Mus musculus: one gene and its partner. The protein of the gene in region 2 binds, or shares a complex with, the protein of the main gene of each other region. Links are inferred from orthologs where the notes say so. Each region holds a gene or a part of one and is shown on either strand. Other genes may lie near its edges.

The links. The genes of interacting proteins can lie anywhere in the genome.
Region 1: the proteins of Kcnd2 (region 2) and Kcnip1 are in contact, whole or in part, in a cryo-EM structure (PDB 7E8E), measured with the Homo sapiens proteins. The link is inferred for Mus musculus from reciprocal best matches to the Homo sapiens genes KCND2 and KCNIP1. Residues at the interface, in NP_036413.1 of Homo sapiens: Ala2, Val5, Ala7, Trp8, Pro10, Phe11, Ala12, Arg13, Ala14, Ala15, Ala16, Ile17, Gly18, Trp19, Met20, Pro21, Val22, Ala23, Ser24, Gly25, Met27, Ala29, Pro30, Gln33, Arg35, Lys36, Arg37, Thr38, Gln39, Asp40; in NP_001030009.1 of Homo sapiens: Thr60, Arg62, Glu63, Val66, Leu67, Arg69, Gly70, Phe71, Asn73, Glu74, Phe85, Ile88, Tyr89, Gln91, Phe92, Tyr101, Leu105, Phe109, Phe122, Leu126, Leu129, Leu130, Lys137, Thr141, Leu144, Tyr145, Val162, Ile165, His185, Phe189.

What each region holds. Positions count from the first base shown.
Region 1 is NC_000077.6:33,841,434-33,845,178, reverse strand, and holds the start of Kcnip1 (Kv channel-interacting protein 1), read left to right. Parts: upstream 1-1,492; 5' UTR 1,493-1,988; coding exon 1,989-2,049; intron 2,050-3,745. UniProt on the Homo sapiens protein: Regulatory subunit of Kv4/D (Shal)-type voltage-gated rapidly inactivating A-type potassium channels. Regulates channel density, inactivation kinetics and rate of recovery from inactivation in a calcium-dependent and isoform-specific manner.
Region 2 is NC_000072.6:21,214,125-21,217,869, forward strand, and holds the start of Kcnd2 (potassium voltage-gated channel subfamily D member 2 precursor), read left to right. Parts: upstream 1-1,221; 5' UTR 1,222-2,174; coding exon 2,175-3,289; intron 3,290-3,745. UniProt on the Homo sapiens protein: Voltage-gated potassium channel that mediates transmembrane potassium transport in excitable membranes, primarily in the brain. Mediates the major part of the dendritic A-type current I(SA) in brain neurons.

The DNA.
Region 1 (3,745 bases), on a different chromosome or scaffold from region 2:
TGTTGCTGAGGTGAAGCACGCTATTCTGAGTCCCTGAGCCAAGGCGCTGGCCAGCTGTGGGGGCAGCTAATGGGCTCGGTGCCTGGAGTCAGACCACACTCCTGTATGTGCAAGCTTATGTATTGTGAAGGAGCTGATGACTCTGCTCTGAGAGCACATGTGAGGGTCTTAGCTGGGGTCTTACAGGTGCACACCCCACCCACCTCATGTGTATTATGGGTTTGGAGTCTGTGTGCAGCATCTCAATATCTGTGTGGGCATGAGGGACCTGTGCCCATATGTTCATGGTTGCATATATGTGTGCGTGTTTATGACGCCATATGTTAAGGGATGCTGTGAGCTCCCAACACAGCATGTGTCTGTGTGCTGCAGAGGAAATGACTGGACAGGGGTCTGGAAAGAGAGGGGGTTGGGGATTCTCAGTGCAAACACAGAGGGAATCCTCAGTGAATGTCCAGGCAGACAGGGCAGACAGGCAGCTAGGCTGGGGAAGAGGAAATTCAAAGCTTTCTAGGGAGACACCTGTCATCAGTTGCCACCAGGAGTTGCCACAGGTCCTCCATCATTGCCTTTTCAGTGGAAAGCTGAAGTGGGGCTTGAGGGTTCTTGCCACCTGAAGGGAAGGTCATGGAAGGAAGATTGCTTTCTAAATTCAAGAGTTACCCCCTGGGTTCCTAACTCAAGTACTGTCCCCACAGGTGTCTGATTTGCAGGTGACAGAGCAAACACACACACACACACACACACACACACACACAGAGAGAGAGAGAGAGAGAGAGAGAGAGAGAGAGAGAGAGAGAGAGAGAGAGAGAGAGAACACAAAGAGGGGGTCAGGTAGCAAGAGCCTAAGGGGACCCACAGCTACTTCTCGTCCCACTTCCCCCACTTCCTGTCACTAGAAATGAGCTCTGGTCCTAGGGGATTCTGCAGGTCCCCAACACCTCCTACAGAGTTCAAAGGAGCCCTTCTTCTTGATGACAACTCTCTTTAGGTGGGGCAGACTTTACTCCACACCAGAAAGGTAGGCAGTGGTTAAATGATTTTCTCTAAAGTCAAATGAAATCTTAATGCCCTCCCTTTCTCTCTCTCTGTCTCTCTGTCTGTCTCTCTGTCTGTCTCTCTGTCTCTGTCTCTGTCTCTGTCTCTGTCTCTCTCTCTCTCTCTCTCTCTCTCTCTCTCTCTCTCTCACACACACACACACACACACACACACACTCACTCACTCACTCACACTCACATATTTATATTCATCCTGGGGGTCACCTGCTGCCTCCTACCCAAGCTGCACCCACCAGCCAGGTGCCTGATCACATCTGTCTGCCCAGAAGGACATCCCCGGTGTCCCGCACAGCCAGGAGTAGAGCCTTGTAGACAGCAGGGCCAGGTCCCCACCCCGCCCCTCTGCGGTCCCCAGGCGGCCTCCGCCGCCTCCCCCACCATCCCCCGCGCCTGGTTCTGAGCCCCGCTCTACTCCGCACCAGTCCCTGGCGCTGTTCATTCATGATTGGTACTCGGCCCCCTGAGATCCAGCCCGAGCGCGGGGCGGAGCGGCCGGGTGGCAGCAGGGGCGGGCGGGCGGAGCGCAGCTCCCGCACCGCACGCGGCGCGGGCTCGGCAGCCTCGGCCGTGCGGGCACGCCGGCCCCGTGTCCAACATCAGGCAGGCTTTGGGGCTCGGGGCTCGGGCCTCGGAGAAGCCAGTGGCCCGGCTGGGTGCCCGCACCGGGGGGCGCCTGTGAAGGCTCCCGCGAGCCTCTGGCCCTGGGAGTCAGTGCATGTGCCTGGCTGAAGAAGGCAGCAGCCACGAGCTCCAGGCGCCCCGGCCCCACGTTTTCTGAATACCAAGCTGCAGGCGAGCTGCTCGGGGCTTTTTTGCTTTCTCGCTTTTCCTCTCCTCCAATTCAAAGTGGGCAATCCACACCGATTTCTTTTCAGGGGAGGGAAGAGACAGGGCCTGGGGTCCCAAGACGCACACAAGTCTTCGCTGCCATGGGGGCCGTCATGGGCACTTTCTCCTCCCTGCAGACCAAACAAAGGCGACCCTCTAAAGGTAAGCACTCTGTCCTCTATTTACTCCCCTGGATAGGTTTGGGGGCACTGGGTGTTGTGTTGGGATGAAACGTCTGTCTCTCTTAGTTCCAAACCCACTGTCCGTGAGGGTTTTGGACAACCTCATGAATCCAAGGAATTAAGAGCCTCGTGGGAGGGTTGGTGTGAACACCCAGGGGTAGCAGCCGAAGTGGACGCTGGCCCCAGCAGGGGTGTGGGTACCCTTCTCTTCTAGGGAATGTATTGGAGCAAGACAGGCAGATTCACAGGTGGAGAAAACTGCGTTCTCTGGGGTGGGCGGAAATGTTGGGAGGCTCTTCCCACTCCCATGAGGGCTGATGTTGGTGCAACCTCGAACATCCAGCAAGGGTGCCTCCTTGGGAATGGCCATGCCTTGCCAGGTGCTGACTTGGGAATCTAATCATGAGGAAAACGGTGATTTACCGGTCCATCCTTAAAACCTCTGCAAGCCAAAAGGAATCAGCTACGTCCAGGTGGTAGAGCCCCCAGGCGGGTCCTGGGACACAAGCAGTCTGTAGGAAAAAACAAATAGCAGGGCTGTGCTGCTATGGTGGTCTGAGGACTTCAGAGGAATGGGGAGAACTGTCAAAAGGGGGGCTGGGGCGACAAGCTCACATATCCTGAGATGTCCCTGTCAGGAGCCTGCCTTTCTCCAGCTGTGGCATGCCCATCTTCAGTGGGACAGTTATTAGATGGCCACGTGGAGTCAAGTGACCTTGTTGGGCCAAAAGCACACAATGCAGGCCCCCTTTTCAACAGGCAGAAAGTTGCTTATAGAAACAAGAAGACTGGAAACAAATCAGAAAAAAAAAAAAAAGATAATGACAGGCTTGGTTTGCTTAATGCTCAAAAGCCATTGAAGATAGCAGAAGGGTTCTAAATAGTTTCACACTTAAATATCCAAGTTCTGATGTTTAATATATTCTGACTACAGGTGGGGGCACAACACACACCTTATCCTGGCTAGTGACCAGAGCTGTGTTAGGGTGATAGTGGGACCTGTTTCATCTCATCTTGGTTGGGATCATACACAGAGATACCCAGGAAGAGAGGGTCAGTCCTCAGAGACAAACTGACAAATAGGAAGACATCTTCAGGTGCAGATCCCAGGTGATAAGACCAGGCTTGCGTGACAGACCGGAAACGGAAGGGGCTTTAGCTTATCTGTTAGGTTCTTTGCCCTGCACGGAAGGCATTGGTACCTCTCAGTAGCCCCAGAGAAAGGCAGGTCTGCAAACCTTTTTCCCTGGGTTTTGGTACTCTGAGCTCTGCCTCTCTTGGATCCTGAGGTGCTGCTTAACACCAAGCAAGTTGGTTCTTGCTTCAACACCAAGTCCAAGTCAGCTCCCTACTCATCTTTCTTAACAACATGAGGTCCCACAGGCAGTGGAGGGCACTGTCCGGCACAGTTAACTTGGGTTTATTTAAAATTACCTACAATGTCCGTATCTCCTTGAGAGGTAGCGAGGCACCCAGAGGAGAGGTCTGTGTCTCTATAACCCAGCAGAGTGCAGGGGGAATCTCATCCCGATCACTTCAGTCGTGGGCCTTGAGCAAATACCACTCTCTATAAGTCTCAATTGTCATCCACATCCAATGGATGAGGATGCTGCCCTCATGAACGCCGGCGAATATGGAGGGAGGGATACCTCATCTCATTCACTATGCAGCAAATG
Region 2 (3,745 bases):
TCACTCACCCTTCACCCGGGCACCTTTTCTTTCTTCGGTCATTTTAGATATGGGCAGGGATGCGCAAAGGGCATGAAGAGACACACACTCTAAGAGACTCACGCCCCTGCACACTGACATTTAGAAAAGGGTCTAAATTCTCCTGTCATTTGCAAAGGACAGGGGGAAAGGAGTTGTGGCAAGACCTAACCAGAGGAGATTTGTGTGACTTTTCCAGCAAGTTGGACGGGTAATATATTAGCCTTAGTAACATTAATATCTGTTTTGAACATACATAATTTAAAAAAATAAATAAAGGAACGTGGGAGAGTCACTTAAAAATTCTGTCGCGGAGCTTTGCAGGTTCTGCGACCCAGTCGCCCCCCAAAGGCAACCAATTCCTTCGCGTTCCGCTCTGTTCACCCTCCTTTCCAGCTTTTCTCGAATCTTTTTTTTTTCCTTGCCCCCCTTTCCCACGCTCATCTGGAACCGGGGCTCCGGAGGCAGCAGTAAGCCACCGGTCCCCTTCCTCCTCTCTTCCATCAAACAGCCGCGGCCGAGTGCCTTGAAGCTTCCCTTTGTTCATCCAAGGCTCGCTCATCCCCGGGGTAGAACCACCTGGATGCTCTCGCTTGGTGACATTTGGCGTCGAGGCTGGTGGGTGGCTAGGGTGGAGCGAGAGGAGCCCGAGGGGGCGGGGGCGGAGAAAGGTCAAGGCGAGGGAAAGGCAGGAGACGCCTTTGCCTAACCTGCGTGGCGGGGCTTGCGTGCGGCTCTCGCTCTCTTCCCAGCTTATTTATCGATCGCACCGGCAGAGCTGCGCGCGGTGCTCGGGGGAGATGCGGGACCACCCACTGGCGGGGAAGCAGCGAGCGGCCCTCTCGCGCCCCCGCGCCGCCGAGCGCCTCCTGCCTCCGCGCCCGGACGCCAGCCCGCTCCCGCCTCGGTCCCGGCCCCACGCCGCCACCGCCCGCCCCGCAGCCCCGCAACCCCGCAGTCCCGGCGCCCCGCAGCCCCGCAGCGCCCCGACCCCGGGGACGCCGGCCGCGCAGTAAGTTGGCAGGAGCGAGTGGCCTGGGCGGCTCGCCTCCCCCGCACCTTTTTGAACTTGTTGCTGTTGGCTCTGCTCGCCTGCGCCTGGCTTTTGGGAAGGTGACAAGGAGGAGGGAGGCACGGAGGGTGGGGGAAGGGGACGGAGAGCTCGCCAGAGCTTTATTTATGCTCCCCGGGAGCCTGGGATCTGGCTGCTCGGGAGCCGCTGGCTCTGCCTTTCCCTTTCCGGGTACAAGGCGACAGCAAAGTCTCTATGCAACTCAGCCCCGGTGCGCACTTTGCCAGGTATGTACCGCGGGCGAGGCGCGTTCTGCGCGGAGGCAGATGCTGCTGCCGCCACGGCGGCGGCGGCTGCCAGCTCCCAGGCTCTATAACTGTCACACTGCACCTGAGCTGAACTTGAACAGAGAGTGAAAGGGCCCATCGGGCAAACGCTCTCGGCTAGCGCAGAGGGTGTCAGTCGTCGTTGTGGGGGGGAGAAAGAGCTCTAGACCGACGCCCCCCGCCGCGAGCCCTGCACTTCACCTCCATCTCTGCAAGCGCAGCGTGAGTACAGGCGGCCAGCGGACTCCAAGGGACGCGGGACAGCGGCTGTGACCGCATCTCCGGAGCTACAACAACAGGTCGTCTTTTTGAGACGCCTTTGGCGGGAAGGACCACTTCAGCAAAAGGGGAAGGTGAAAGGGTTCTTTCTTTTAAGAGACTACCACTGACTGGTTGACTTTCCCTGTTTCCTCTCTCCTGCTCTATATACCGACCCCATATCTACCAGACTGTATCAGGGGAGAAGCGAAGACACCTGTTTGAAGCCAGGCTGTCTCCGAAGTCACCTGTACGTTTACATGTGCCAGGACCTGCCCTGGTCCAACTGTTGGCAGAGATTTGTTTAGGCTTTATGGAGAGAGATTTTTAGGTCACTGTATTTTTTTTTTCTTAGTATTCCAAATACTTCTGTGAGGGAAACCTGACCTTCTTGAGTACTGTGACTTGACCTGCGCCACCTTGGAATAATCGTGTTCCTGTGAGCAGTGTCCCCCCAGTGTTTTGCCTGAGGTGAAGAAGTGGGGGGCACTTTCTTACTTTCATTGTGTTATTTTGGGTGACCCCCCTGCTCACTCTCGTGACCTCCACTTCCAGACAACATGGCAGCCGGTGTTGCAGCATGGCTGCCCTTTGCCAGGGCAGCCGCCATTGGGTGGATGCCTGTTGCTTCGGGGCCTATGCCTGCGCCCCCAAGACAGGAGAGAAAAAGGACTCAGGACGCTCTGATAGTGCTGAACGTGAGTGGCACCCGTTTCCAGACATGGCAAGACACCCTGGAACGATACCCAGACACTCTGCTGGGTAGTTCTGAGAGAGACTTTTTCTACCACCCAGAGACCCAACAATACTTCTTTGACCGTGACCCGGACATCTTCCGCCACATCCTCAACTTCTACCGCACGGGGAAGCTTCACTATCCCCGCCATGAGTGCATCTCGGCTTATGATGAAGAACTGGCCTTCTTTGGCCTCATCCCAGAAATTATTGGCGACTGCTGTTATGAGGAGTACAAGGACCGCAGGCGGGAGAATGCTGAGCGCCTCCAGGATGATGCAGACACTGACAATACAGGAGAGAGTGCGCTGCCCACCATGACTGCTAGGCAGAGGGTCTGGCGGGCCTTTGAGAATCCCCACACCAGCACCATGGCCCTGGTGTTCTACTATGTGACTGGGTTCTTCATTGCCGTCTCAGTCATCGCGAATGTGGTGGAAACAGTTCCATGTGGGTCTAGCCCAGGCCACATAAAAGAACTGCCTTGTGGGGAGAGGTATGCGGTGGCCTTCTTCTGCTTGGATACCGCCTGTGTCATGATCTTCACAGTTGAGTACTTGCTTCGCCTGGCCGCAGCACCTAGTCGTTACCGTTTCGTGCGCAGTGTCATGAGTATCATCGACGTGGTGGCCATCCTACCCTATTACATTGGGCTGGTGATGACAGACAATGAGGATGTCAGTGGAGCCTTTGTCACACTCCGAGTCTTTCGAGTCTTCAGGATCTTTAAGTTTTCCCGCCACTCTCAAGGGCTGCGTATACTGGGGTACACCCTGAAGAGCTGTGCATCAGAACTGGGCTTCTTGCTCTTTTCTCTCACAATGGCTATCATCATTTTCGCTACCGTTATGTTCTACGCAGAGAAGGGCTCTTCAGCAAGCAAGTTCACCAGCATCCCGGCAGCCTTCTGGTACACCATCGTCACCATGACAACACTGGGGTAGGTGCCTTTGTAGAAAACGGGATGGTGATTGGACATGGGTTGTGTTGATTATGAATCTCTTAAGGCTTCCTGATGCTTTAGAGTGACTACATTTTTTTTCCTCTGAATGGATTTAAGAAAGCACTATTTTAAAAGTTTGGAAACAAACAAATAATTTTGATCTGTGAAATGGGTATGACAAAAACGATTGAAATTACTTGGGAGTTATAGGCAAATATTAATTACTGATACCATAAAATGACAAATATAGACTTAATAGACTAATTAATAGATGTGGATGGTATGTCTTTCAACCTAAGAGCCTTGTCTAATTTTATATCATTATATAAATTATAGATTTTCATTATGAGTAATGGGTTATACTTAGAATATCAGATTGGAAACAGGTCAACTATACAAAATATAATGTTTGGAAGTCCAGGCTTGTCTCTTTTTTTTAAAGAAACATATGAC